Mytilus edulis: one gene and its partners. The protein of the gene in region 3 interacts with the protein of the main gene of each other region in a pairwise test. Links are inferred from orthologs where the notes say so. Each region holds a gene or a part of one and is shown on either strand. Other genes may lie near its edges.

Region 1 (7,394 bases), on a different chromosome or scaffold from region 3:
AAAAATCTGTATTTTGTGGTAATAAGCATTGTGTATAAGTTTAATAACATTTGGTTAAGGCAAATTAAGGAAAGAGAACGAAAACAAAAAATTCAGCATTTTTTTTATTCGAGAACGGTACAGTACATGTATGTGACGCCACCAAAATTCAAACTTGATCTGTGTTTTGTGGTAACAAGCTTTTGAATAAGTTTATTAACATTTGGTTGAAGCAAACTAAAGTTAGAGAATGGAAACCAACTTAGGGATGTACATGTACATGTATGTCATGTATGTACGGATGTACAAATATGTTACGTACAAATGTATGTCCGTACGTACAGACGGACGAGGGTAATCTTTATGCCCAATCCGCTATGGCATTTGGCATTAAACATAAAATGACTATTCAAACTGTCTCATTTTCCTCCACTTATAATAAGCATGTTAAGGAGATTTTGAATATCAGAAAGACGTTCACTTTTTTCAATTTCTGTTTCAATTTTTCTCTATTTGATATTGAATGCAATTTTTGTTTAGCTAACAATCGAAACAACCATACTGTGTCAGTGTGAAATTTTTGTCTGAGTTGTGCCACTTTGTCTGATAAACATCACTTCAAACAACTATAGTATAACATAAATGTGCACAGTCACACTATACATGTAAGTATACATGCTACCGTAAACAGAATTGACAAAAAAAGTGAAAAAGCACAAATCTAAAATCCTTATATAAGCATTTCAATTAAAAAATGTCATTAGGTTTCAAGTATTAATGCATTGTGAAAACAAATATTTCATCAACGAAATTCCAGTCAGATATTCTCTTGAATATCCTTTTTATATTAGATACAATTTTTTTCAAGTCTGATAAAGTTTTTTCGTAGGCAAGACATTTTAACTGAGGAACTATACAGGCGTCAAAAGGCATCATTATGGAGGAAAGGGATAATTATAAGGTAACATAGGAACACTCTTAAAATTTACATCAAACACACACATATCACTAAAATAGTAAGTGTTTTCTGCTCTATAGTCGGACTGTTGTCTCTTCGACATATTCCCCATTCCCATTCTCAAATTAAGATACATGTACATTTTCTTTCTATTTACATTTAAATGTAAATGGGTAGGACATACAATGTATAAGAAACTAAGGTTTGCAAGATTTAGATTCACCAAATGTTGTTTTTCTCACTTCAAATTTTTAGCTCCAGCTAATGAAATATTTAAATAAGATCATATACCTTTGTACATGACCCATCTATTGTCATTATCAACACAGAGAATAAGAAAGACATTTGTAAGCACCTGTCTTAAGTCATGCGCCTGTTGTTCAGTGATTCTTGTTTGTTGGTCTGGACAGTCATGACAGTGGTGAATAAATGAGGGGGAGGTAGGAGGGGTCCTGATCCTGAAATTCTGGGCTTAAAAACACGAAATCCTGAAGTCCCGAATTTAAATAAATTTAAATCCTGACATCCCGAAATTTGAAAAAGAATTTCCAAATCCTGAAAGGTTCAATTCCAAAATTCCGAGCTTAAAAACACCCGATCCTGAATAAAGGTCCTATCCCCCTCATAAATGTTTCTTGTGTCTTGTTTTTTTATAAATAGAGAATCACACACACATAAGACCAATGGTTTTCCTGCAGATTATATTGTTTTACACTTGTTATTATGGGGCCTTATTAGCTTTCTGTTTGGTATGAGCCAAGGCGGTGTCCAATGCCGTACTTTGACCTATAATCATGATAATTCACTGTAATTGTAAACATTTTATACATTGTGACTTGGATGGAGAATTGTGTCATTGGCACTCATACCACATCTTCTTATATATTTATATCATGCTACAGGCTTATTTTGCTTTGCCCACCCGTCTACAGTGGTAGTGGGCACCAGGTGGGCAAAATTTCTAGCTTGTCCACTGCCCACCCATACTTACAAAATGTAGGAGTGGGCAAGCAATTTCTTTTGTTGAATCAAAAGACTTGCAAGTAAAATCAATTGAAAAAAAAGCAGATAAACATATGTTATCAAAAATTTTACAAAAAAGAGATTATATTTATACTACATATTTACTATAGCGAGTAAAAATAAAGTCAAAGAACAAATATTAATTAAAGTACAAAAATGAAGGTCTAAGTCTTAGTAAACATTATTATGTTCATTCTTAAAATGATTTTAGTGATAAATAAACTGTTTAAGAAAACTTACTAGTTCCTTCTCGTTCAGTTGCTGGTGGAGAGTTGAAACCTTCACTCAAACGCTTGCCTGTCACAAATGACATCAATACACAACAAACGAAAATAATAATACATGATGAAGCCATTGAAAATCTCATCTTAGTCTATCAAATGTTAAAAATAAACGTTTATACAATATCACAGAATTTGGTAATGCAAATATCTAGTAAGTACACACTGTTGTTTTTGTTGATCGTCATTTTATCAATGAATCTGGATGAATGATTTCACACATGGTGATGAAGGCAGCAACCTGGGCCATGAGAAATCGAAATGTAAATGTGCATGTTGCGATGAAAATAAAGACATGAATCCAATACAATATTGATGATTTGGTTTTACATTTTGATGAAATTCTCGTTTTGAATGTTTCATAATTTGTTCAGTACAACTATCCATGAAATAGGCCTTGAACTTCTGTATTGTTTGTTGAAAAACCATGCAAAACAAGCCCGGAAATGTCCATCATTTTCACAGTCCACAGTAAAACCGAGCATCCGAATTAATCTCACATGTATTGCAGTATCACCTTGACCGATTTTTACATCACAAAAAAAGAATTCCAATGTGTATTTGATAAATTAATACTTATTTTTTACCTCCATTTCAATGTACATAGCGGAAAACAAGACGTAAACAACCTCGTTAGATGATTGGTCAATTAGTCATTCAGAGCTACAACCATGATCAATGCTGTAGTTTCGTATCCAAAACGATCAAGGTCACCACCTAAAGTCTATTTTGTAGTATTGTAGACTACCGCTTGTGGTCATTTTGTCTAATTTCTAAAATATTGCCAATGACGTCAAAGATATATTGTGGAATTTAACACCGGTTTCCTTCAGTTTTTTACACAGAATTTACTAAAATTTATAATTTCATAATTTTTAAGTATTTGAAAACCCTGCAATTAAAGTAGATAAAGACTATAAATTGCAGAAAAAATGTGTTTGGTATTTGTTCAAGTCAATAGGGGCAATATAATGAACAGAAAAAATAAAGGCAGTCATGGTTTTGTCAAATGTGATGCTTCTATGAGATATTTATAAATTTCATTAAAATGCAGACACGATTTTTTAGTGATTTGTTTTATTCCGAAAAAAGGTAAATTACAACAATATTAAATCAAACATTGATTGGGAATTTTACACAAACAAATATGTTCAGCAATTATTTATCAAATGGGATAATAATGCGATTATGCATACTATTTAACATTTTTAAGTTAATTTTATACCCCTCTTTGTGATCGTATTAAAAACTTCCAAAATATTTAATATTTCAGCTGCCTGCATCCTGCATGGGTCCAATGTAAATCACGATCAATTTTAGTCGGAAGGTTTTTTTCTCTCTATAAAACGCAATCCTACAAGTTTGTATCTAACTGAGCATTTTTAAATTTTATTGCTCTGCAAACTTTATCTGTAAATGCATCTGGCTGTTTTGGGAGCATTTCCTTGTTAAAAAAAATGTCTACTACACGTATTAATTGTCTACTGTAACTCCTCGACTGTGGCATGATTGCTATATGAGACAATATCTGAAAAAGTCTAGTTTTTGGCAATAAGAATAAACCAAAAAAAATTCTTTAGACCCGGTATTTTAATAGCACAAATCGAAGAACACACATTGGGGATCTAGGAACTGTTGTCTGTAATTCAAATAATTGTTTATTAAGGAAACAATGGCAATTTAAAAAATGGTACAAAAAAAATACAGTTCTTTCCTGTTACCAAAGTGAATCAATTTTTAAAAGTTTCTAATGGGAATAAGGAATAAGTTTAAGACACTATTTGTGGTTTACTAGTATATCCTGCAATAGTTTATCAAATGCCAATTATTGATTTTAGCATTTGCAATACAAAAGGTTTAGAAATATACTTAAATATAGTCAGATATGTCGGTAACATGAAAGAATCTTGAGTAACAGGACAACGGTAACAGGACAGAGTTGGTAACAGAAAGGATTTTTCTGCTTTATTTTAAAGTTTAAGAAAAATAAATCATTTTAGATTGGTCACAATTGGAAGATAACAGCAAACAATGTCATTTATCCTTTGAAACTGTATTTGCAAGATGAAAAATCTGCCTAGGTAATGAAAAATTCTAAAATAAATTCCTTTCTGTTACTATCTACTATACTAGAATTGCACAATGTTCTCTGCTGTTATCAAAAGCAAAAAACCTATTTTTTTATTCAATATACTGTATATTATTTTGAAATTTATTTGATATGGTGGTGATAACTTACATTAAATGAAATGGTTGGCATATAGTAGATTAACTGTTCGATTCTTCAGTGAAATTGTCTTGAACATCCTTCCTGTTACTGATGATGGTTATGCTGTTACTTTTGATCAGGTAACATGACAGAACGTAACAGAAAGGAATTACGCGATAGTTTTTGTCCTTTTTATCACATTAAATGTAAGTGTATTTCCTGTGACATATAACTTTTAAAAAGATGATATAAAAACACACTTAATGTTGTGGTGCACACTTAAAAATATTCTCAGAAAGTGTAAAAAAAGGCTATAACAGGATAGAACACCAATAAGTATTTTTCTATAAATTCTTACCTTGGATGGGCTTGAATTTTCAAACCTGGCCGCCTTTCCAACTATTTCTTTGTACTAATACATTCAGGGAATGATGCTCTTCACAATACATAATGGGAAAATAACTCTTGGTCTTGTAAACGTTTCCACAGGTAAAAAAAACCCAGTGGTAACAGGAGGGAAATCACCCCTGGGGACAATTTTTTTTTCTCTTAAAATTGGCAAAATTTTATTACATGCTATAGTTATAATATAAAAAGACAAATTAGGGGCAAGTTGATTACATAATATATCATATATGTGAGAATCGGACGCCTTTTTAATTAATTTGGATATTATTTGAATGATTTAGTTTTCAAAAAAACACAGGGGACAACATGATTTTAGGGGGGGGTTGAACATTTGAATCACAATATTTTATTGGAAGAAATATAAGAATGAGTGTTTAATTGGCAGGCCATGGTGCATTATAGAATTTAGTTTATACTAAAACTTAAAATTTTCGAAAAAGATGGTTGAATAAAAAAATAATTGCTGGTGAAGTGAGGGACATGGAAATTAGACTTTTTCAGATATTGTCTCATATGCATTGATATTGACAAAAATATATATGACATTGAAGATGAATGATTGTAGGTTGGCAGAGTGGGATCTTCATTACCGTAATTTCCTTATGAAGTTGTCATTCGATTCTCTTTTTTGCGTTTTCTTGACACAATAATTCAAATATCTTAATTTATGAAGGTGTGTAATTTTTATATTATTTTTATTTTAACGGTAGATTGTATAACTAAAATGAGTAAAATATATATAACTGAAATTGTATAGCGGTTTTTTTTAACAAATTTTTATTTTAATAAATATTTTTTCATAAAAAAATAAATAAAAGGATTTCAAAGAATTTAAGTAGTTGAAAGAATTTCATTATTTTTATCAAAATGATAAATTATGCTTTATCTAAAACACTCATTGTTGCGTATCTAAAACACTCCTTGTAGCTGTATCTCAATATACAAATACTACATACTGTTAAAAAAAAACACTATTAAATTAGGGGATAAACATATATAAACGTTATAAGGTAGCAGAAAGTATACCCCATTTCGTTTATTTAAGTTTTCTGCTCGCAAAAAATCAGCCTATTATACAGAGTGGCGAAGGAGTCAACTGAAATGTGAGAGGAGGGCTAACTTCTATTAGTGAAAAGCAACAAAAAAAAGGAAAAGAATTTTCCGTCCACTCACCTTGAGTTTCTTTTTTCTATTTTTCGGTCATTTTCACATGAAATCATAGCTAAGTAGCTTTCAACTAACATCGACCAAACAAACAAATAGAGTAAATTACTTTCATTTGGAAAAAAAAAACACAAGTTGTTAATAAATTTAGCCCACACAAAAAATAAACTAGGATATATGATATTTTTTCATAGTTTGTATTTTATGTCACACTTACATATAGGCGAGTGACTTATTTCAAAAAGACGCTTAGTTAACGACTTTAATGCACCCACCTAACACACGGCTGTATTATATATCATTCGAAAGCTGTTAATCTGTACTTTCTGTTTTACCCGGTCGTAAAAAAATCGTACGGTGCAATTTTTGTTAAATCAAGGTCAAAGGTCATGAAAAAAATTCCAATTTTTGCGATTACTAAATAAAACGCCATTTTCTAATTCTTGTACCATAAAATTTTCCAGAAGATCATATGAACTTTATGGAACATGATACATAATTTCCAAATCAAACAAAAAATAAGAGATTCGATGCGCAAAATTTCCCAAAAATTGAAATTTATCACAAATCCTAAAAAAAATTAAAAATTATTCAAAAAGCAAAATATAATTGAGGTTAAAATATGTTTTTTACGAAGTCAAACTGTTTTACTTTTTGTAATCTTGTTTAAATGCAAACATTACTTTGCGACTAAATCGTAGGCAACATTGAAATAAGTAACCTAGTTTAGAAACACTTGGTTGTCTAAAGCGGAATGTAAACGAACTAAATAATAAAAATGCGGCTGCTTCTTATTTAGTTTAAAATCGTGTTATAGTAAGTCATATTAAATGTATTTAGAAGTTTAATCGCTTTAATTATTTGATGATAAAATATGCTTTGAGTATTTTCTACATAAGCTTTAAAAATACAAATGCATGTCATTGTGTATGTAAAACACTATAAACAGTTGTGAAATAACAAAATGAAAAAGTTAAATACCCTTCCTGACCTCATAAGATCATTCGCTGTTTTAGGAGTGTTCGTTTTCATGGTATGCCGTGTTTTTTGGACTGTTGTTCATCTCTTGGACTTTAATCTTATTTTGTTCATGGTGATTGTCCCTTTGGTATTAATTTATTTTAAACACATTAACTTGCAGTAATGAAAATCAGCCAAAAAATCACCTCAAAGTAAAGTGAAGTAGATTAACGCAATAAGACAAATATCCGCGAAAATAACTGAATTTGCTCACGATGATATATATATAGAACCAAATCGTTATCATGATACATTTAGCTACACTGATCTACAATTTTAAAACCTTTTACTACTTGAATAGTGACGAAATATATCAAAGGGACATCAAACTCATGATTAAAAACGAACTGAC
Region 2 (7,695 bases), on a different chromosome or scaffold from region 3:
TTCTCTGTTTAAGAGTTATTGTATGGACTACAAACACAATACAACCCTCTTAAAACCCAGGTTATATCAGGTGTTAAAAGTGAACATACACTGCTTGTATATGATTTATAGTTCATAACAGTCTCATTCTGTACCTCTGTCAAATTAGCCATACTTGGTATAGAATAAAGATTATTTGTACACAATGATTTTCAATGTAAAGTTTCACATAGGAAAATAACTTTGTATAATTTTCATATGTCTGTTTCCTGTAAACTAGTAACGATTACCAGTATAGTTGTATAGTTCTGAGCATTTTGTCAAACATATAAACTTGTAATAATATTCCCTGAACATTTTGGTACAGGATTGTGGGTAAAACTCTTAAAATATAAATATTTCTGTAACAATTGTACATGTAATAACAATTAGCCACTTCATGATATCCATTACCAAAAATGTTGTATAGTCTGATTATAACCACAGAATTTACTTTGCTTTTCAGATACTAGTGAAGAAATAAAGAAACAAGAGTAGACACCATTTGACCAACTGTGCTTACAATACTTGTGCAATAGTTGTAATTGATGTCCATACTACATTGTAGTGTCATACATGTATGATAATACATTACAGCATCCATAGAATTATCATCTTGGTCGTCAATGCCTCTCATTTCTTAATAAATTGCATTTGTTATTTTGGTTGTATGATTTTCTAAACAGACTTTTTTGTTATTAATGGAGTAGAATGTTGAAAAAACAAATGACAAAGATCATTGCTGAATGAAGTACAAGTATTTTTTTAAAGTTTAAATAGACAATTGGTATGGTGTTTGAGTGATTTTAAATAGATATTTCTTATTTGTTTCCAGTACATTAATAACCACTTTATCACACAATCAGTGGCAGATCCAGAAATTTTCATAAGTTGGGGCCCACTGACTGCCTAAGAGGGGGTCCGGCCCACTCCAGTCATGCTTCAGTGATTTCCTATATAATCAACCAAATTTCTTTCCAAAAAAGGGGAAGCCAGGGGCCCCTGGCCCCCTCTAAATCCGCCTCTGACAATACCATGAAAATAAATTAGCTGTAGCTATTTGTTGTATTTCGTTTTACATTGTTTATTTCTGACATAAAACCCGCTTAAAAAAATACAATTTGAAACTAGAAACACTTATCCTAAAAATTGCATTTTAATATTAAAACCAAAGAGAATGAAGAAAGAACACTATCGAGTGTACCTTAATATGATTCTGAAAAGTAATCATTACATTGAATGCTTATAATTACAATGAGATATGGTATGATTGCCACTGAGATTTATATCCACCAGAGTTCAAATATTGTGCATTCAATTTGTAGGTCACCTTTCAACCTTCAACAATGAGCAAAATCCATAGCCTATAGTAAGCTTTAAAATGCTCTAACATGGCAAAAAACATTGTTAATCTAACTGATATTTCTAAATTACTGAAAATCAATTGTTATGATGGAGAAAATAAGTGGCATTACAGTTTATCATGTTTATGTCATGGACACAAAGACCATCTAGGAGTTTTGCAAATGCCTACTTTGGACAGTCAAACGACAAGTAGGAATAAAAAAATCTACTTTAATGTTGAATATATTAAATTGATAATAGATATGGGGAATGTGTCAAAGAGACAATTAAGTAGAAGAAAACAGCCAAAGGACACCAATGCTTCTTATCACAGAAAAGAAAATCCAGCTCCCTCAGGCAGGCTTTAGCTGAACTCTAAAACAAAATGTGTACTAGTTCAGTGAAAATAGATGTCATACAAAACTTCAAAACATAAATGAACTAAGATTGAAAGTCCTACAAGGCTATTTAACATGCATAAAAATAAAAAGATGAGTATAAAAAAGATGTGATATAATTTCCAATGAAAAACTATAGGTTACTGTACAGCCTTCAACAATGAGCAAAACCCATACAACGTAATACAAATATACAGTTGTATAAAGATGAAGGAAAAACAAACGACAACCACTGAATTAGAGGCTGTTGCCTTGGGACAGGCACATATATACATACATACAGAATGTGGTTGGGTTAAACATGTTAGCGGTATCCCAACCCGCCCCCCATACCTAGGACAGTGGTGTAACAGTACAACATAAGAACGAACTATAAAAAAATCAGTTGAAAAAGGCTAGTCATCAGATGGATACAATTAGAAATACTACATAGAGTGGACGTGGCCGGGTACTTGTATATCCCAACAACAAAGGTACATTTGAGTATGATTGCCAATGAGACAACTCAATCAAAGTTCAAATCAAGTGGATGTTATCAATTATAGGCAACTGTACAGTCTTCAACAATGAGTAAAACCCATATATAGTCTGCTGTTAAAGGCCCAGACATAAATTATATGAACAATTCAAATGAGAAACTGACGGCCTAATTTATTACAAAACAAAAAATATCGAAAATTAAAAATTACATGCATGAACCAACAACAACCACTGAACTAAAGCTTAAGGCATAACACTGTACAAGGGTTAAATAATACTATTAATTTGAAAGCATGCCTTTTATGGCTTTATTTGTAAATACCCAGCTATCTATCTAATTGCCAACTGCAGAAATTGTAATATTTCATAAAAGGCTATCAGGAACTATGATACTGAAAATATATGGTTTTTGGTAGGGTTTGTGTTGCTTTCTTTAGTTTTTGTTGTTGCGTTGTGTCCTTCTTTATGACTATAAATACTAGGAAAAAGAAATAACCTAGTAAACTGAATTAGTAAGTCTATCAAGCCTCTAATCCTTGTTGTTAGGGTATATTAAGAAAATAAAATTGCAATGAATAACAATACAGTAGAAAGTAGGTCAACAAACACTATCTCGATGTGGCTATATATGTATGTAGATTTATGTTAAATTGAAGGGCATGTAAATAAAAATAATCAGATTTTCCTGTTCTTTTAGTTAAAACCATTCACAGCCAAAAATATCTGGTGAAATTCTGTTGATTGATGTGCAACTCAGTATATTATATAAAGGCATACGACTACAATTCACACATATGCACAGTACATAAAATCATGAGTTACTTAATCCTGCAAAAATCCATAGAAGAATATTGACAGCAATCGATCAATGCAATACTGCTTTGCTCTACAAAATAAAACAAATTTATTATACATTAAATATTGAATCACCTGAGTAAAAAATTGTCTATAATAATAGTCTGAGGTCTTACTCAATAAAATAAGACCTTGTACAGCTGTTGCATACTTGCAGTGTTTTATTCATATTATAAACCATTACCAGGGTAACAAAGAAATACAATATTAAAGACTTTAAATCAAAGAGGACTGACAGAAGACCAAATAAGGTACACAAGCTCCATACAAATTTAAAAAAGAATGTTTAGAGAGGGAAGGCATCACAGAAAAAAACATGCCTAGTCCTATAATTTTTGCATCTACATGTAAGCAAAAATATAAAATAGTCTTTCAAAGTGTCAAAATTATTTGGACTCTTGGACATGTTTTGAACTTACGATACCAGATAGATGTAAATAGTTCTTTCAATGCCAATGTGAAACATTTCTTCAAATAATATAAATATATGCTCATTTGACATAAATTTTGTACTAAAAAGTGGCTTTTATAAAAAAACAAAAACAAAATTAATCACTTCAAATGTATTACTCATATAAGGGAGCTACCATTTGATTTTTATGGGGGGGCTAGGATGAAATTTGAAAAAAATAGGCAGGACAGGAGTTTTGAGTAAAAAAAATAGGCAGGATGAGACATTTGCAAAAAAAAAAAAGTCAGGACGGCAATTTAGGTAAAAAAAAGTCAGGATAAACTAAAAAAAAAAAGACAGGACCGAACAGAGTGAAAAATAAAAAGGCAGGACAGATATTACAGCTAAAAAAAATTCAGGACAAAATTTTTCATCCTAGCCCCCCCCCCCCTTCCCATAAAAATCAAATGGTAGCTCCCTAAGGGATAGTCATGCAATTGAGGGGTTGTTCCTAACCTGTTGGAGGCAATGTCTTTTTAATACAATTATTAAATTAAAATTATTTTGAAACTCAGATCACAGGGGTTTGTTTCAAACCCTGTGCTCAGATGATCTCAGATGTTCAACTGTTCAATAAATTTATGTTGCGCGACTTTACTGTTTTTGCTTTTAAACCTATCAACTATAACCTACAATTCACCTACTGCCTTTTGACAACATATTAATTACACCATGACCCTTTAACACGTATATGCTAGCTGCATGTTGATGTTCTGTGGTTGAAGTCGATAAAAAAACAAGCACTCATGGAGGCTGCCATTTTGGATGTTGTGGGTCAAACTATCATTTTGGATACTATCGTTACTTTTCATAGGGTCGACGAATAATCCAAAATGTTCCGAGTCTCTGACAGAAATCTGTCATAAGAATTTTTACCATTGCGAAAACCCAGACGTTTGATTACAAATTCAAGCGTCTGGGTAATCGAGACTATTTGTTGTCGTGTGTCTGTGTCATTCGGAAATGACAATGGTTCCGAATGGAACTCCCGCGCTTAAATTCTTAAAAATTAGTTATAAACTAAAGAAAGTTGTTACATTTTTTCATTATTACATAAACACAAATATATTTTATATTCTTAATTTCACTATGATTCAAATATATCCATAGATTTGATAAATTTGTTTTTGTATAGAGGCTATCTATTTCAGTTACTCACAACCCGGAAGTTTCAAAGAAAATTTACAAAATGTCTATGAAGAAAAAAAACACGAATGTGTCATCTATTCTGTTAAATGACAATGAAAACGAAGCACTTTTCAACATCCTCGGTAGAGGTTGTGTGGTAAGAATAAGCAAACATTGAATTACAGGAGATACTCCCTTTTGCTTTAATTCTAAATCTAACCGTTTCTATGTAACATTATGTCAATTTATGATCACCTGTTTATTTATAGTACATCATCATACTAGCTTTAACATTTTTATTTGCCGTATAACATGGGTAAAGTTTAATTGGTTTCCGTTGTTTTACTGTAAACTAATGACAACTTTGCTTCAACAGCAAACAGATTGACCATGTTGAATTGCAAAAAGGGGAACAACTCTTTATTACTAAGTGAATATTTTGAACTCAGAGATAGTGCATGTACTTCATTTGCCACAGCTGCTTAACCCAGATTAGCCCGTTTGGTGCTTCCTTTATAGACACAGTCGCTTCATTTGCTGTAAAATCAGCTGGCGCACATATTCATACACTTCTCTCAGCAGTTTTAACACACCAGTAAGAAAGATGTGGTGTAGTGGTTAGTGCATCGGACTACTAACACAAAGGTTCCTGGTTCGATTTCAGTTTCGGGATGAAAATTTCAGGGACTGAATTTTCAGCTCTCTCTTGACATCATTTGAGAGTATGGTCTTGAGGAAACGATGATAGTCTGTAGGAAGGGGACGATAAATGGCTGACCCATGTTAAGAGAGAGCCATACATGTATCTCTTGCACGTTAAAGACATCGTTGTAGATTTCGAAAAAGAGCAGGCTAATGCCGCTACAAGGCAGCCCTTGCACCCGCTAAGTGGAAAGGGATTAATATAAGTTGTAAAACTTGTTTTCCAATCCACTATAAATATGTTTAACCTAACACACCAGCAAGCAATCAGCCTGTCATAAAAGTACATGTATGATGGGAAGCGTAATTTAGGATAAATTGTCGGAATTTGAAAGGTGAAGATTGAAACAATTTCATTATATGATATACTGCAATGGTTAAATGTGACGATAATAAATTGTAAAGCTACAAATGTACATTTTATTTTCAAATTTTTCAAAATCATCTCAGAGAAATGTTTTTATGATGAATAAGGCCTCGAAAAAAGATTGCATATAAAAAATACATATTTATTATCAACATATTCATTTTTTATATTCTCCAACTTGGAAACCAAAAAGTATAAATTTGAACTTCTGTCGCCATCTTTAAATCAGCCTGTTCAACTCCGTTTACTTCTCAGCCATTTGACCCAGTCACATGATAAGGCTAACTGGGCATATCCCCGAACTAGAACAAATGAAGCAGTCACAGATAGTACAATCTGTGAATATCCCCGAACTAGAACAAATGAAGCAGTCACAGATAGTACAATCTGTGAATATCCCCGAACTAGAACAAATGAAGCAGTCACAGATAGTACAAACTGTGGATAATATGTGGAGCTCCTGATATTCATTTCAGTAGGCATAGGTTTTAAAAGAAAAAAAAGGTAAAGTTCAGAAATGTCAACAAAAAAAATTATTGAGAAAAATCCCATATTTTTCCTTAACATTTTTGGCTACTTTTAAGCAAGCTACATTTGCATGGGATTAGCCTGTGTGCAGCTGAATCCAGGTTCGTTCGCCCTAAAACAAGTTCCACTTCTTTCACTTTTGCACTCTACACATTTGCACCCTTTTAATCGGTTTTGTGTTTAATAATTTGTAATTGAGTTTTGGTTTATATTGTATTGTTATAAAAAATATAATGTTACACAACACATTGATTTTCTGAAAACATTTTTTGTGTGGAATAAATCTTAAATCGTGTTTTGGTTTGAGAGTTTCTATATGTATATATATTTTTTTCCATTCAATGTTCAAAATAAAGTGACATTTTGACAACGGTTTTTTAGGATGAATAAATCTTGATCATGTTTTGGTTAGTGTATTATTGCTATACATATTTTTTTCATTGTTTCTTAATAAAGTGCCTTTTTCATGTTTCTTTTTCATGTCATGCATGAAGTCTTTTTAAAAAATAAATTTGTTGAAAAAATTTTAAATACACTTTTTGGTGCGAATGGACCTATTGGGGGACCCTGTGAGGTGATGACATGTATGGTGTGAATGTGAATTGGGAACAAACTGGCCTGATACAGTTCCAGCTTGGATTTGCCAACCAGAAAAAGGGCATCTGATGAGACATGAAATGATAACATGAAAAGGACATTTAACGAGTTAAATTATATTTTATAATAATTATTCTGCTATTTAAAAAAGTATTTAGAGAACCTGAAAACATGCTCAAAACCCAAAATAACATTTTATGTGGTCAAATATAGTCATTTTCTATTTAAAACAAAGAAAGACAATAACAATGGGATACATGTCAATTTTACTTTAATTCAACTTCAGAAATATGATTTTAATGACATGTACATGTACATGAACATAAGTTCCTTGTCCATATTACAATACATAACGGAGGACTTTCAAAACTTTTATTTAGATAGGGTTATTTCCCTTTTTCTTAATTGCATCAGCCATATTGCAGTGTCTTTTTACATGTACCACAGAATACCACAGAACTACAAAAATAAACAAAAGCTGAAATTTCTAGATTTTAAAGTCAGTATTAAGCATTTTTTTAAAGTTTTGAAATATTGAAATTTCAAAAGTAAAATTTCATGTAAAAGTCGAAATTTCCACTGTAAATTAATAAAAAGTTCAATGAAAATCAATTTTCATATATCATGTATATGTCTCTGATAAAATTCTGAAGAACCACATCAAATTCCAGTAAAGAATTGTAAACATATGAAATATGTATGTTAAAACTAACATCCACCAACACTATTCTTTGAATGGTAAATATTGCAGTATGCTACATTTGTACCTACATGTAGCCCAAAATAGCCAGGTGCAACTCTCTTTCTTTTTATATTCTTAAATCTTA
Region 3 (7,801 bases):
CTTGATATCTATATCATTAACGAAAAGCTTAATACTAAAATTTATGATAAAAGAGATGATTTTTCATTTCCTATCGTTAATTATCCATTTTTAGATGGTGACGTTCCTTTGTCACCATCTTACGGTGTTTATATATCTCAACGTGTACGATTCCCGCGTGTATGTAACAACGTTTTAGATTTTAAAGAGAGATGTATTACTGAAAAATTATTACACCAGGGTTTTCAATATCACAAACTAGTCAAAACATTTACTAAAAATTTACATCATCGGTACAAGGACATCATTCGAAAATATAGCTCAACATGCAGACTTCTTATACGTTCAGGTATTTCACATCCAATCTTTTATGGAAATATTCGTTATAAAGCACAAAAATGTCAGTATCCACCTCAGAAGGTAACAAAACCTTTAAATAGACTTATTAAGAAGGGATATAGATACGATACTGTTGTCAGGTCATTAAAAATTGCATATTTTGGCGTTAATATTGATTCACTTGTAGGGTCTTTGCATTGGAACTAAACACATTTATTTAAAAACCAGTTGTTGGTATGTCACGGGCTATGTTCTTCTCATATATGTTATGACTAGAACACACCCGCGAAATCGAGGGCATTCAGAGCTTGGTTGAAAGTATGTAAAGTAGACAGTGGTTGTCGTTTGTTTATGTGTTACATATTTGTTTTTCGTTCATTGTTTTGTACATAAATAAGGTTGCTATTCAATTAAACTGATGGAAAGATTATGATTTCATCATATGAATATCAGGCACAATCCTTCCCGTTAGGGGTTTAGTATCATACCATCATAACATATATGAGAAGAACATAACGTGTGCATACTGTTTACATTGAAATATGTGGTAACTTTTCATTCGAGGTAGGGGCAGTTAAGAAAATTAGTGTTAGTTTAAACTCTGAGAAATTCAGGGCATATATACGTTGAAAATATGCCGCACAGCTCGGACTTCTCTTGAACTGAATTTTAATGTGCGTATTGTTATGCGTTTACTTTTCTACATTGGCTAGAGATTTGAGATCAGAGGGAGGGTTGAGATCTCATAAATATGTTTAACCACGCCGCATTTTTGCGCCTGTCCCAAGTCAGGAGCCTTTGACCCTTGTTAGTCTTGTATTATTTTTAAATTTAGTTTCTTGTGTATATGGAGTTTAGTATGGCGTTCATTGTCACTGAAATTTTAACTAGTATATATATTTGTTTAGGGGCCATCTGAAATACTCCTCAGGCTGCGAGAATTTTTCGCTGCATTGAAGACCTGTTAGTGACCTTCTGCTGTTGTCTGTTCTATGGTCGGGTTGTTGTCTCTTTGACATATTCCCCATTTCCATTCTCAATTTTATGTATATAACAATAATATTTAGTTTGCTTTTAATTTACTGATAGCAAAATCAATATTAATACCAATAAAACCAATCTTATTACAGTGTTGAATTGGTAACCTTTTAGAATAATAAAATAATTTTATTTAAAGGATCGTCTGACTTTCGATAAGTTTTACAGGGTCGTTTCTAAATTTTCGGGCACGGTAAACAGCATCTCTGTAAAAATGAGGATGTGCTATCCTGTTTGAAATATTTTTTCTACAGGAACGACCAAACTTCAAAACCAAATCTTTATATCTACGGAAGACTTTAGTAAAAGTTTTAAGTAATTTGTGGTAATGTAATCCCTGACTTAATAATTTACCAGTAATACAAACATTACGTTCGTGAAAACGTCACAACAGACTTGGGTATATAGATTTGGTTGTGAAATATAAACACCGAAAGATGGTGCCAAAGGAACAATACCATCCAAAAAGCGAAAATTAACAATGGGGAACGAAAAATCAAGACAGGAATATCACTGAAAAGTTATTGTTTTTAATAACAAGATATATTTTATAACACATCCAAATTCCAAATATATATATATATATATATAACTCGTCTAAACATCAACCCAACAATGTTAGATCTGTAAATTTGCTTTCGCAAATATATATATATATATATGTAAAGTCTCTGAATGATTGTATAATAAAAACTATAACACAAATTCCCATACGTTTCGGCCATTACGGCCTTCTTCATTGGAATAAATTACAACATTGAAACAACAATTACATCGCTTGGATACATTACGTTATAATAACTTCTATGACGTTCATTTGCCGCGTTTTTCGCTTTTTTAATATAAATATATTTATTATCGTTCATACATTGTGTTGAGTCCTTCAGGTTCTAAAGTTTTTAATTTCTTCATCCAAAAGGCTTCTTTAGTTTTTCTGTAAACTTCTGTCCCAAATACTCTCTCTATGGCGGTAACTTTCAAATTTGTCATTGAATGATTGTTCTGAATGAAATGGTTGGCTACCGGATCTTCTGTTTTTTGTGTGCGTATTTTTGAAAAGTTCAATAGCATTCGTTGATATAGTGTATCACCCGTTTGTCCTACATATATAACTTTTTCACATTTTGTACAATTAATCGCATAAATCGCTTCCAAATGTACATTCAATTCATAGAAAAAATCTTAAAATTCTCCATCAATCTGAAAGACTAAAGAAAATATTCCCCGATCCGCCTATCGTGGCATTTAAACGCGATAACAACATAAAAGACATCTTAGTGCACAAAAAGCATAATTTACTATTTTATAAACAAACTAATGGATGTGGACCATGTGGTAAAAATTGTGCATTATGCTCACATATAAATGAAACCAAGGTATTTTGTGACAACACCGGCAAAGAATATACCATTCAGGGACAAATAAATTGTAAAACCGTAGGCGTGATATATGCGAAAAACGCGGCAAATGAACGTCATAGAAGTTATTATAACGTAATGTATCCAAGCGATGTAATTGTTGTTTCAATGTTGTAATTTATTCCAATGAAGAAGGCCGTAATGGCCGAAACGTATGGGAATTTGTGTTATAGTTTTTATTATATATATATATATATATATACAACTCGTCTAAACATCAACCCAACAATGTTAGATCTGTAAATTTGCTTTCGCAAATTTCTGGTTCTTCCCTCGCCGGGATTCGAACCCATGCTACTGTGATATCGTGACACCAAATCGCCAGCCGTCCCGCTAGACCACACGACCACCTGGGCTATATATCACAAATTAGCAAAGAATGAAAAAAGTCTACTATTTTGCGTGTGTAATCCCATACCACCATAGAGCTGCATGCCTCAATCTGCAAGCTGATCTTGATGCAGCTTCAAAATGAGAAGTGGACTGACTGATGGCCATCTACCCGACAGGTGTAATGCTCTCTCTGTCACAATCAACCTTTAAAAATTAATTACACTCTTCACAATCATATTTTAGAAACTGTTACATCTGCTAAGTACTAAGGCATGATCATCACGCCTAAATACTAAGCAGAGCCGCATCACATTACAATCATACCTAAAATGGGACAAACATATAGATGACAATACCTCGTAAACTTGAAAACATCAAATCAAATCATTAACAGCCAGAGATACCAAGATGGTAGTCCCAAACTCGAGTACTCTTGCTCTGTTTGGGACCCCCACACTTCAGAATCTATCTCGAAGCTAGATGGTCCAAAGGAGAGCTTCTCTGTATGCCTGCAACGTGCATCATACCACTAGCAGTGTATCAAACATGCTCAATAATACACTCAACTGATCACAATTTACTCAACCAACGCAGATTATGTTCACGCCTGGTTATGATGTACAAGATCACACATCATCTTGTTGCTATACTATCTAGCACAGTTCTCATACCATCAGACTCAAGAACTAGAAAACATCATTCTCACACCTCCAGACATATTTAAACATCTAAAGACTCGTACAGATTTTCATTTTTCCCATAAACAATTAGTCAATAACGCAATGGAATCTATTATTACCAACTACAGTTGTTAATACATTTAAAACAGTCGACTCTTTCATAGAGCAGCTTACATATGTTGTTCTCTGCCCGGGCCACTCTATTTTGAATAGCTTCTTCTCCTGTAAATAATTTTAATCACTACGTCTGTTCTCTGCTGCAACATTATTATCAATATTTTTTGTATATAACTAAAATATTAACTTTTTTAAAACAAATAGGCCACGTATGCATCAGTTATTAATCATCTTCATTCAGATGGAAGACTGGAAAACAACTTAAGAAGAGGAAGGGGGCAAGTTCACCCTAGTAGAATGGCCGAATCGATTGTAGACGTGTCACGGAATAGCATTTCCTTCATTATATAATATCCAAAGGGAAAAAATGTTCTGGAATATTATTTCCACAGGAATAAATATTACAGTAAATGTTCCCAACGGAATAAATGGTATAGAATATTTGTTCCAACAGGAATAGATATTATGACAATGTTTATAACAAAGTTTCCATTGGAACTTCTGTTAGGTGGAACAAATATACGTTGACAGACGAACCGCCAGCCGTTTTTGGTTCTTGACGAACTGCCACTTTGTTGGATGTGAACGAACTGGTAGCGTGGACGAAACGACCTGTAGGCGAACTTGTAGTGTGGCCGAAACGTCTTTTTTTTTTAAAGATAACACAACATCAAGGCCGAGAGGTATCTATGAGGGTCCACACTTTTCAATTTCGTTATGTTATGGATCAAAATTGGTATCTAGCTTTTTCTCATCATATTCCTTGCAACCTTGCAGCAACATTTATTTCTGCTACCACATCTTTTCGTAATAAAATGCAAATAGAGGAACACCCTTTTCAAACAGCTTCCCGCGATATTTTTGCTCTCGCGCATGAATCTTTAAATGGGTGGGACTATTTTACTCTAATCAACATGGCTGACCAAAACACCGACTTTACTTGTCAAAAGAATACCGCAGAAATGAAGTTTGTTTGATCTATATAAGATAATATTGGAGTGACTATTGAACAGAGGGTATAGAAAACTTAATATCTGAAAGTAAAGTTGCTAATAATACTGACACAGAAGGACTTTTCGCGATACTTCCTACCGTTGTTCTGTGGGTGACTCATCTCCGAGATATCGGTCATGGAATAATAAATGAAGTGAGATAATGAAGGAAAACCAAAAACAATGCCAACTGTCAAAGTCTTAAAAATATGAGTAATTAGGTAAGATATTAAGATGGTTAGTTAGCAGACATGTTTTATATATACAGTTTTAACCGATTATGACAGTTTACAATGAATTTCAAGTAGAAAACATTGGTTTTATGTTCTCAAAAAGCCAGTCATCTGTTGATTGTTGACTCAACTTCTTACATTGTAGATGTTATCAGGTCATTTCATACCCATAGATTGGGTGTTAACCTAAAAGATGGTGTATGTATACATGTTAAAAACTATTAATAGCTTGATGTAGTAAATTATGTACAATGACATGTTTCATACATGTTTGTACTTTCTATTAATTGGAACTGTCCCACCACCACACTTAGAGCAATAGGTTACTTTGTAAGAGGTTAAACACCAACACAGGACCACACAATGTCAATGTACAAACTAATCAACCATTTATAGTTTGATCTGATACATCATTGCTAGCCAAGGGTTACAATCCAGTCCCCTCGTCTCTACCCTTTTTGGCGGATCTTAACCCTTTGCGAGCAAAAATGTTTCTGATAAAAATTCCATGCACTTATACAATGTAGTTATATGTTTAAATTCAAAGAAATTGGAATTGCTGATTTACCTCTGCATCCTTCCTAGACATCTGTAAGATCATGCAACATTTATCTCGGCTGACAGCAACCACCAGATCCAAATACATACAATGTAATTTTATATTTGTACAAGTCATAGATTCTTGAAACTTGGCTCTAAGCTTCAATGATCTGATAATGCTATCTTGACTACTGTGTGACATGTTTTGCAGTTCTTTCAATGTTTTACTTCCTGTTCGCCAAAAACTTTAACATTGATAAAAGAGGGACGAAAGATACCAGAGGGACAGTCAAACTCATAAATCAACAATAAACTGACAACGCCATGGCTAAAAATGAAAAGGACAAACAGACAAACAATAGTACACAGAACACAACATAGAAAACTAAAGATTAAACAACATGAACCCCACCAAAAACTAGGGGTGATCTCAGATGCTCCGGAAGGGTAAGGAGATCCTGCTCCACATGATAACATACAATGTACATCTACATCGTACATCATACATGGAAATGGTACAAATGTAATGTCCCAATTATTGTCTCTTCAAGGATACTCATGGCTACAATATTTCAAGAATCCCAAATCTAATACAAATGCTGATCAAAGTAAAAAAGGACCTTTTAACTAAAAATAAAGTAGTGCCTAAATGGTATTATACTACAATTTGTATATTGAGCATTGACATGATTGCAGTCAGTAATCATTATAATTCTGAAGGGTAAGATACCTGAAGAGGAAGAAGAAGAATAATTTACCAACCTTTCACTGTTTATGAATAATAATGGTAACAGATTATTATTTGGGGTTTCTAATGAATCATTCATGATAAGGATAATTAAACGAATCACAATAAAATTTTAACCAATTTGACGCTGAAGGGAAAGGGCCTTCCTTCCCTCTTGTATTGTCTTTATTGTCATTTACCAGGTGTTCATTTAAGCTTTTGCTTTAGTCATGTTAGTTTTTTTGTTTTTTTATCTGGGTAATTTTATTTCCAAAGTCTGTGTTGTTTTTCTCAGTTACAGTCTTTTTTTTATACATTTGAAGTTGCATTGGTGATGTTACACATGGTAGGAGGACAGTAATTCATTGATCCCCTATTGCATGATGTATCAACAGATTTTATTAGAGATATAACATAAAAGTGTGTTACTAGACTATTGTACCAGGAATTACTGGCCCTTCTGTTGTTAGTATCTATACATGTAGCAATACATGCAGTAGGTAAGGTTTTAATATCTGTTCAAGGATATCCATGGATGAAAATTTATTTTTAGCTACATAACATGAAAATGTTTTTGTATTCTGTAGAAAATTTTAAAACACACACATATATTGAAAACTGAGGGTAGAAGCTAAGAAATTTAAAGAATCATATTAAATGACTATTTTATCCTCGAGATTTTATCATAGAAAAAGCACTTTTATTCTTTTCTTTTTCTTGAAGTTGTTTAAAGGTAATACATGTAAAACTTCATTTGTTACAATACAAGCAACATCTTAACCAATTATTGAACTTGATATAGCGGCAGCCTGGAAGGACATGAAATGTTGGTTATAAAAAAAGTATCCTATTTTGAAATTCTTGAAAAATGATGTGATCATGGACAAATGATGGATATTTTGTATTAAATTTTTTTACTGTTTCTCAGCTTACAATGGCATGAATGGCTTAAACCACTGTTCTTGATAGAAAATAGTCTTTTAATTTGAAATTTTCTTAGAATGTGTCTTATCTTCGGTTTTATTTGAAAAAGAGCCTCAAGGAAAATGTCTAACCTTTAGTGAAGAAATTAACAGGTCTTGTTTAATTTTAGATATTATTTTGCAATATACATGTATGTGTAACCTATACAGTAGACATGTATATGTAATCAACTAATAAGTTCAAATATCATGATCAGTTTGCTGTCTTGTCCAAATCATAATGCATGGAGATAAAAAGAAATGGTAAACAATTTTACAGATTTTTATTGGACTTAATTAACTAATAAGATTAGCGAATTATTATTTAAAAATATATTTTTATAACTTTTAGTGTTCTTTTACCAATATCTTACAATAGTTGAAGGTATCAATTTTATATAGCTTGCAGACTTTTGTGCTAGTAGTTTGTACAAATCTCACTG
Region 4 (7,128 bases), about 85 Mb from region 3:
GTTCAGTGATAATGAACGCCGTACTTAACTCCAAATTATACATAAGAAACTAAAATTAAAAATAATACAAGACTAACAAAGGCCAGAGGCTCCTGATTTGGGACAGGCGCAAAAATGCGGCGGGGTTAAACATGTTTATGAGATCTCAACCCCCCCTCCCCTATACCTCTAGCCAATGTAGAAAAGTAAACGCATAAAAATACGCACATTAAAATTCTGTTCAAGAGAGGTCCGTGTCTGATGTCAGAAGATGTAACAAAAGAAAATAATCAAAATTACAATAATACATAAATAACAACAGACTACTAGCAGTTAACTGACATGCCAGCTCGAAACTTCAATTAAACTGATAGAAAGATTATGTCATATGAATATCAGGCACAACCTCTCCCGTTAGGGGTATAGTATCATACCATCATAACATATATGAGAACATAACCCGTGTCATGCCAACAACTGGTTTTTAAATAAATGTGTTTAGTTCCGATGCAAAGACCCTATAAGCGAATCAATATTAACGCCAAAATATCCAATCTTTAATGACCTGACAACAGTATCGTAACTATATCCCTTCTTAATAAGTCTATGTAAAGGTTTTGTTAGCTTCTGAGGTGAATACTGATATTTTTGTGCTTTAGAAAGAATATTACCATAAAAAAATTGGATGTGAAATACCTGAACGTATATACATGTTGAGATATATTTACGAATGATGTCCTTGTACCGATGGTAAAATTGCCTTTCCGTTATATATCGTTTAAAAAGGTAAAATAAAAAAATTATTGAACTCCGAGGAAAATTCAAAACGAAAAACCAAAAATATTCCTACATGGAAAACGGTCTATATCTTTTTTCTAGTCCTGGTTTAAATCAACGTTTAACATATTCTGAATTTTGTCTTTTGCATTGATGGTTGAACTATGAGGTTTTTGTCAGAAGGAAGACAATATCACTATAGTAAATATAATGAATTAAATGCCAATATAGTTTTAAAAGAAGTGCACCTGTAGCCCCCCTAAATTTGTCACATTATTTTATTTTATTTTTAAAATAGGAGTTCTGATTTCTGACTCTTTTATATGTTTTAAAATTGTTTGATTTCGATCCTAGTTAATCATTGTCCTCAACATCCGCTTTAGAATCATTCTAAAATGTCATAAATATCTTTAACGTTATAGATATGTGTAGCTTTGTCATGGTTTTGTGTGATCTTTCTAATGGCTGTGATGACGGGGCTCACATTTGATTTGCTCACAGCGACAGGTTATAATATGACTGTGGTGGCAGAGTTCACATCTGATGTGCTAACAGCGACAGGTTAAAATATGGCTGTGGTGTCAGGGTTCACAGCGACAGGTTATAGTATGGCTGTGGTGGCAGGGTCACAGCGACAGGTTATAATATGGCTGTGGTGGCAGTGTTCACAGTGACAGGTTATAATATGGCTATGGTGGCAGCGTTCACAGCGACAGGTTATAATATGGCTGTGGTGGCAGTGTTCACAGCGACAGGTTATAATATGGCTATGGTGGCAGCGTTCACAGCGACAGACTATAATATGGCTGTGATGGCAGGGTTCACATTTGATGTGCTAACAGCGACAGGTTATAATAGTGCTGTGGTGGCAGCGTTCACAGCGACAGGTTATAATATGGCTGTGGTGGCAGTGTTCACAGCGACAGGTTATAATATGGCTATGGTGGCAGCGTTCACAGCGACAGACTATAATATGGCTGTGATGGCAGGGTTCACATTTGATGTGCTAACAGCGACAGGTTATAATAGTGCTGTGGTGGCAGCGTTCACAGCGACAGGTTATAATATGGCTGTGGTGGCAGTGTTCACAGCGACAGGTTATAATATGGCTATTGTGGCAGCGTTCACAGCGACAGACTATAATATGGCTGTGATGGCAGGGTTCACATTTGATGTGCTAACAGCGACAGGTTATAATAGTGCTGTGGTGGCAGCGTTCACAGCGACAGGTTATAATATGGCTGTGGTTGCAGTGTTCACAGCGACAGGTTATAATATGGCTATGGTGGCAGCGTTCACAGCGACAGACTATAATATGGCTGTGATGGCAGGGTTCACATTTGATGTGCTAACAGCGACAGGTTATAATAGTGCTGTGGTGGCAGGGTTCTAATATCTGATATGTTCACAGCGAGAGGTTTTAATATGGCTGTGGTGGCAGAGTTCACAGCGACAGGTTATAATAGTGCTGTGGTGGCAGGGTTCTCAAATGATATGTTCACAGCGAGAGGTTTTAATATGGCTGTGATGGCAGTGTTCGCAGTGACAGGTTATAATATGGCTGTGGTGGCAGCGTTCACAGCGACAGGTTAGAATATGGATGTGGTGGCAGGGTTCACAGCGGCAGATGATGATCAATCAATCAAATAGTATTTTGATAGACAACTTCAAGTGAATCCCAACCGCTAGCCACCAAATATGTAACGAGTAACCAGGCGTTTATATCTTAAACGAACGTTCCAGTAAATACTTGGATTCAAGTTGTCCACAAACAATACGTCAAATTGACAATACCAAAAACTATAACTATCTATGCTATGCACAATGAACTAAAATATACACACTGACTCTTTACCGATATAAAGTAACAACGGACAATTATATATATACAAATATAATACAATACAGCCTGTCCCCAAGATGGGACGGTCTGTCACATAAAGACAGTATGGCTGGTACAGTCTGTCACTACAAGACAGTGCGGACTGGTACAGCCTGCCTTGTCAATCCTATCAACTTGTACGTTTACTTTGTACCCGGTACAAAGTGACCTTTGAATATTATTAATGCTTATAAGCACTTAATATAACCAACGTACGCTCTGTTGACTTATGACGGCTCATCGACAGCCAACCGACAGCCTCGAGTGCCGTTGTTCATTCTCTTATATACCCGTGGTCGAATTCACTACTTTTTGGATAGGGGTGTTCTCTAAATGTTCTTCATACGGGACATAGGGAGCCCCTTGTGATCACTCCTATAATCTTCGACAAGGCACTAACTTTCCCGCCAAACGTCTAAATCTGCCTAAGGGAGCTACCATTTGATTTTTATGGGGGGGGGGGGGGGGGGGTGTGGCTAGGATGAAATTTGAAAAAAATAGGCAGGACAGGAGTTTTGAGTGAAAAAAAAAAAAGGCAGGATGAGACACTTTGCAAAAAAAAAAAAGGCAGGATGACAATTTAGGTAAAAAAAAGTAAGGATAAACAAATAAAAAAAAAGGCAGGACCGAATAGAGTGACAAATAAAAAGCCAGGACAGAGATTAGCCCCCCCCCCCCCCCCCCCCCCCCCCCCCCCCCCCATAAAAATCAAATGGTAGCTCCCTAACTCTTTTTCTACAGTAAACCATGCATTTCTACAATAAGATCCTACTTATTAGTAACCTCAACGACCAGTAAACATAACAGAACCACAAAAACGTTTTTGATATACATAAACGATTTTCAAGAATACCTCAATCACAGCACATTACGACTCTTTGCTGATTATAGCATCATATAGCAATGAAATAACATGTCAACAAGATTGCACAAAAGACCCCTCACAAAAGTACAAGCGGGTCTAAATGTGGCTGTGAGATGGGAGGAAGATTGGTTTACGACCTTATCACACACTGAGAAAAAAGAAACCATTCAAACGTTAAAGCATCCTGAATAACCATATTTTAATACTACTAGCATCAACAAAATATCTTGGTGTAACTATAATACAATGGAACATGTTTCCACTAATTGTAGTATCATGTCAAACAATTGAAACCTTATAACAATCCCTAATGTAAATGATTGAAATGAAGTACTAAAAAATTCAGATAGATGTTATCATGATAGAGCTACATAAATTTCTTTAGTTTAACGCAAGTCATGTACACTTAAAATTCTAGACAGGAAGAACCATAAAATCATTACATTAGGGATTATTATAAAACATATTAATTTACATTGCGTCTAGCATCTAGACATTTAATCATATAGTTCCCTAAAACCTATACCAATTTCCATAACCAAAAAATCTGTGTCTTGTGATAGAAGTAGTAGTACAAGTGTACAAAGAGGAGTAACTCTTACTTAGCTTGAAATCTCGAACAGGTGCTTGTTTCCTACGGGACTTTGCGTGATCTGGTACCGAACCACGAAAAGGAAATGTCAACTTAAAAAACTTGTTACTATTTTCCGGACTACAGTAATAAAGTGGTTCAGCTGGTACATTGCCAGTGTTAGTCGTCATTTGAAGCTCAGGTAATCATACAATTAACTTAATCCAATCACACCTGTGATTAAATCCTGTCATTTACACAGGCATCCCTTTTGTTTATCAATGAATGTAAAAAGATAACCCTTGTCCAAATAGTTATGATGTCTTAGAAGACTAATTTAATGTTTGCCATGGTGCTGTCTTACGGAATGTTATTTAGATATCAATTCTGAATTTGAAAAACAACCAAAATTCCAACTAGCAAATCGGAGCAAAAAATTAATTATTTGTATAAAGAAACAATATCTGATTGGAATACCAGACAATCTGGTGTGTGCCAAGACAATTGAGAGCTTTAAGACCTCTGTTGCTCTCACATTGTTGGACTAACTTACTAGTGTCTCTCTCCTGTTGCAATTGATGCCATAAACTGGCCCTGCAACTTACAAATGACTTGCATGTTCAGATTCAGATGTGTAGAACATAAAGTCATAAAATTTAAAGTTGGAGAAATGGAGAACCCATAAACATGATGAAACCAATTTGAAAAGGTTAAGTGTGTAGAAGGACAGAATTCTATAATTTATCAAATTCTATTTTTTTCTTGTAAGACCATTTGGTACGTCATATTAATTTGTAAAATTCATGCATTTTCTATGTAAATTGTGAATCAATATCATTCTAAATAGCATGAGAATCACAGGCACTCGTCTCCAGAAAAAAATAAAATTCTGAGACGAGTACCTGTGATGAAAAACCCATTATATAAAATGTAAGGATGTATATAAGCTCCATAGAGCTTATATTTTCTGTCTACTAATTCTGTATCTGTACGAGTATGTTGTGGATACCATTTACTTGCTTTTATACAAAGGTACAGACTACAGAGAGATAGTGTGCTGTGGATTTATTGATGGTGTGTGAGAGCAGTCTTGAAGCTCAGGCCATAAAAAAGATTGTTTCTTTGCCCTAACCCTACCCCCTATCCAAAAAATAGCTGCCTACTCAAAATCTTTTATTGTCCTAATGTGAAAAAGTTTTTTTATGCCCCACCTACTATAGTAGAGGGGCATTATGTTTTCTGGTCTGTGCCTCCGTTCGTTTGTCCGTCCGTCTGTGCGTCCGTTCTCGCTTTAGGTTAAAGTTTTTGGTCAAGGTAGTTTTTGAAGAAGTTGAAGTCCAATCAACTTGAAACTTAGTTCACATGTTCCACATGATATGATCTTTCTAATTTTTAATTTCCAAATTAAAGTTTTGACCCCCAATTTCACCGGTCCCCCTGAACATAGAAAATGATAGTGTGAGTGGGGCAATCGTGTACTATTGACACATTCTTGTTTTTAATCAGAAAGGCATGGAGACTAAAAAACATTTCGCATTTTTTGTCGAAAAAAAAAAAGAAAATGCCTACCTTCTTCACACTGTTTCAAACCAAATATTTTTAGTGTGGCCTCAATGTGTGCATTGCAGTGTCAGCAATGTGGTTCCACTCAATCGCTGTTTTTACAAGAAATGAATTTGAATATTGTGGTGTTTTTCAGTTGAAAATTTCAAAACACTTGTATTATATTATATATATATATATATTTTTTTTTTTTAGTGTTGTTTTATAACTTGCTTTTTCCACAATATTTGTTGTCTGATAATTTTCAAATTTCTTGACAATTATTTTTCTTCTAAGATGTGAGTCAGTTAGATATTTGTCTTTTTCTATAGCAGGAACCTGTCAACCACTTTGAACAGAAATATTAGCTTCTGACTTTAGCGTTTTGTCTGTCATTCTGTAGATCTTGTAATTCCAGGTTGGCAAGAATGAGACCCGCCCATCATCTCTGGTCTTCAGTTATAAATCTTGTATGCTGTTGTATTCTTTCAAACTTGTTGATTTTCTTAGATTCACAGGGTCCCATACTATTGCTGCATACTCCATTGTTGACCTGACCAGTGAGATATATGCTATCTTGTATGCATTTTCTTGTATTCTTGTGGGCAATATTTCAAATTCTTCTCAGGAAGCCTAAGGTTGAGTTTGCCTTCTTCACTAAATTGGAAAAATGGGTAGTCCATGTTACATGTAAGTCCTCTGAAATTTGTAGGCCCATGTATCATGTGTATGGGTTGATGTTGGACTGAAGAACAAGGTTGGCATAAAAGTGGTCAATACTAGAAGCAAATATATAAGATGTGCTTAACTTTATCTAATTAAAATCAAAAAATTGTGAATAAATGGCATTACAGATACAAAGAATTGTGAGTTATTGGCCTTACAGATTCCTGAGAGAAACAAAGAATTGTGAGTTATTGGCCTTACAGATTTCTGAGAGAAACAAAGAATTGTGAGTTATTGGCCTTACAGATTCCTGAGAGAAACAAAGAATTGTGAGTTATTGGCCTGACAGATTCCTGAGAGAAACAAAGAATTGTGAGTTATTGGCCTTACAGATTTCTGAGAGAATCAAAGAATTGTGAGTTATTGGCTTTACAGATTTCTGAGGGAAACAAAGAATTGTGAGTTATTGGCCTGACAGATTCCTGAGAGAAACAAAGAATTGTGAGTTATTGGCCTTACAGATTCCTGAGAGAAACAAAGAATTGTGAGTTATTGGCCTTACAGATTTCTGAGAGAAACAAAGAATTGAGAGTTATCGGCCTTACAGATTTCTGAGAGAAACAAAGAATTATGAATTATTGTCCTTACAGATTCCTGAGAGAAACAAAGAATTGTGAGTTACTTGCCTTACAGATTCCTGACAGAAACAAAGAATTGTGAGTTATTGGCCTTATAGATTTCTGAGAGAAACAAAGAATTGTGAGTTATCTGCCTTACAGATTTATGAGAGAAACAAAGAATTATGAATTATTGTCCTTACAGATAGCTGAGAGAAACAAAGAATTG

Evidence for each region.
Region 1: the proteins of cytoplasmic protein NCK2-like (region 3) and insulin-like peptide receptor interact in a two-hybrid assay, tested with the Drosophila melanogaster proteins (2 studies listed by BioGRID). The link is inferred for Mytilus edulis from reciprocal best matches to the Drosophila melanogaster genes dock and InR.
Region 2: the proteins of cytoplasmic protein NCK2-like (region 3) and actin nucleation-promoting factor WASL-like interact in a two-hybrid assay, tested with the Drosophila melanogaster proteins (2 studies listed by BioGRID). The link is inferred for Mytilus edulis from reciprocal best matches to the Drosophila melanogaster genes dock and WASp.
Region 4: the proteins of cytoplasmic protein NCK2-like (region 3) and serine/threonine-protein kinase PAK 2-like interact in a two-hybrid assay, tested with the Drosophila melanogaster proteins (3 studies listed by BioGRID). The link is inferred for Mytilus edulis from reciprocal best matches to the Drosophila melanogaster genes dock and Pak.

The regions. Positions count from the first base shown.
Region 1 is NC_092347.1:4,564,542-4,571,935, reverse strand, and holds the start of insulin-like peptide receptor, read right to left. Parts: upstream 3,015-7,394; 5' UTR 2,328-3,014; coding exon 2,201-2,327; intron 1-2,200. UniProt on the Drosophila melanogaster protein: Has a ligand-stimulated tyrosine-protein kinase activity. Binds 3 insulin-like peptide ligands.
Region 2 is NC_092344.1:35,959,037-35,966,731, reverse strand, and holds the start of actin nucleation-promoting factor WASL-like, read left to right. Parts: upstream 1-4,692; 5' UTR 4,693-4,735; coding exon 4,736-4,831; intron 4,832-7,695.
Region 3 is NC_092346.1:20,317,529-20,325,329, forward strand, and holds the start of cytoplasmic protein NCK2-like, read left to right. Parts: upstream 1-4,787; 5' UTR 4,788-5,117; intron 5,118-7,801. UniProt on the Drosophila melanogaster protein: Adapter protein that links cell surface receptor tyrosine phosphorylation to downstream signaling pathways and effectors, many of which are involved in regulation of the actin cytoskeleton.
Region 4 is NC_092346.1:105,566,992-105,574,119, reverse strand, and holds the start of serine/threonine-protein kinase PAK 2-like, read left to right. Parts: upstream 1-4,121; 5' UTR 4,122-4,276; intron 4,277-7,128.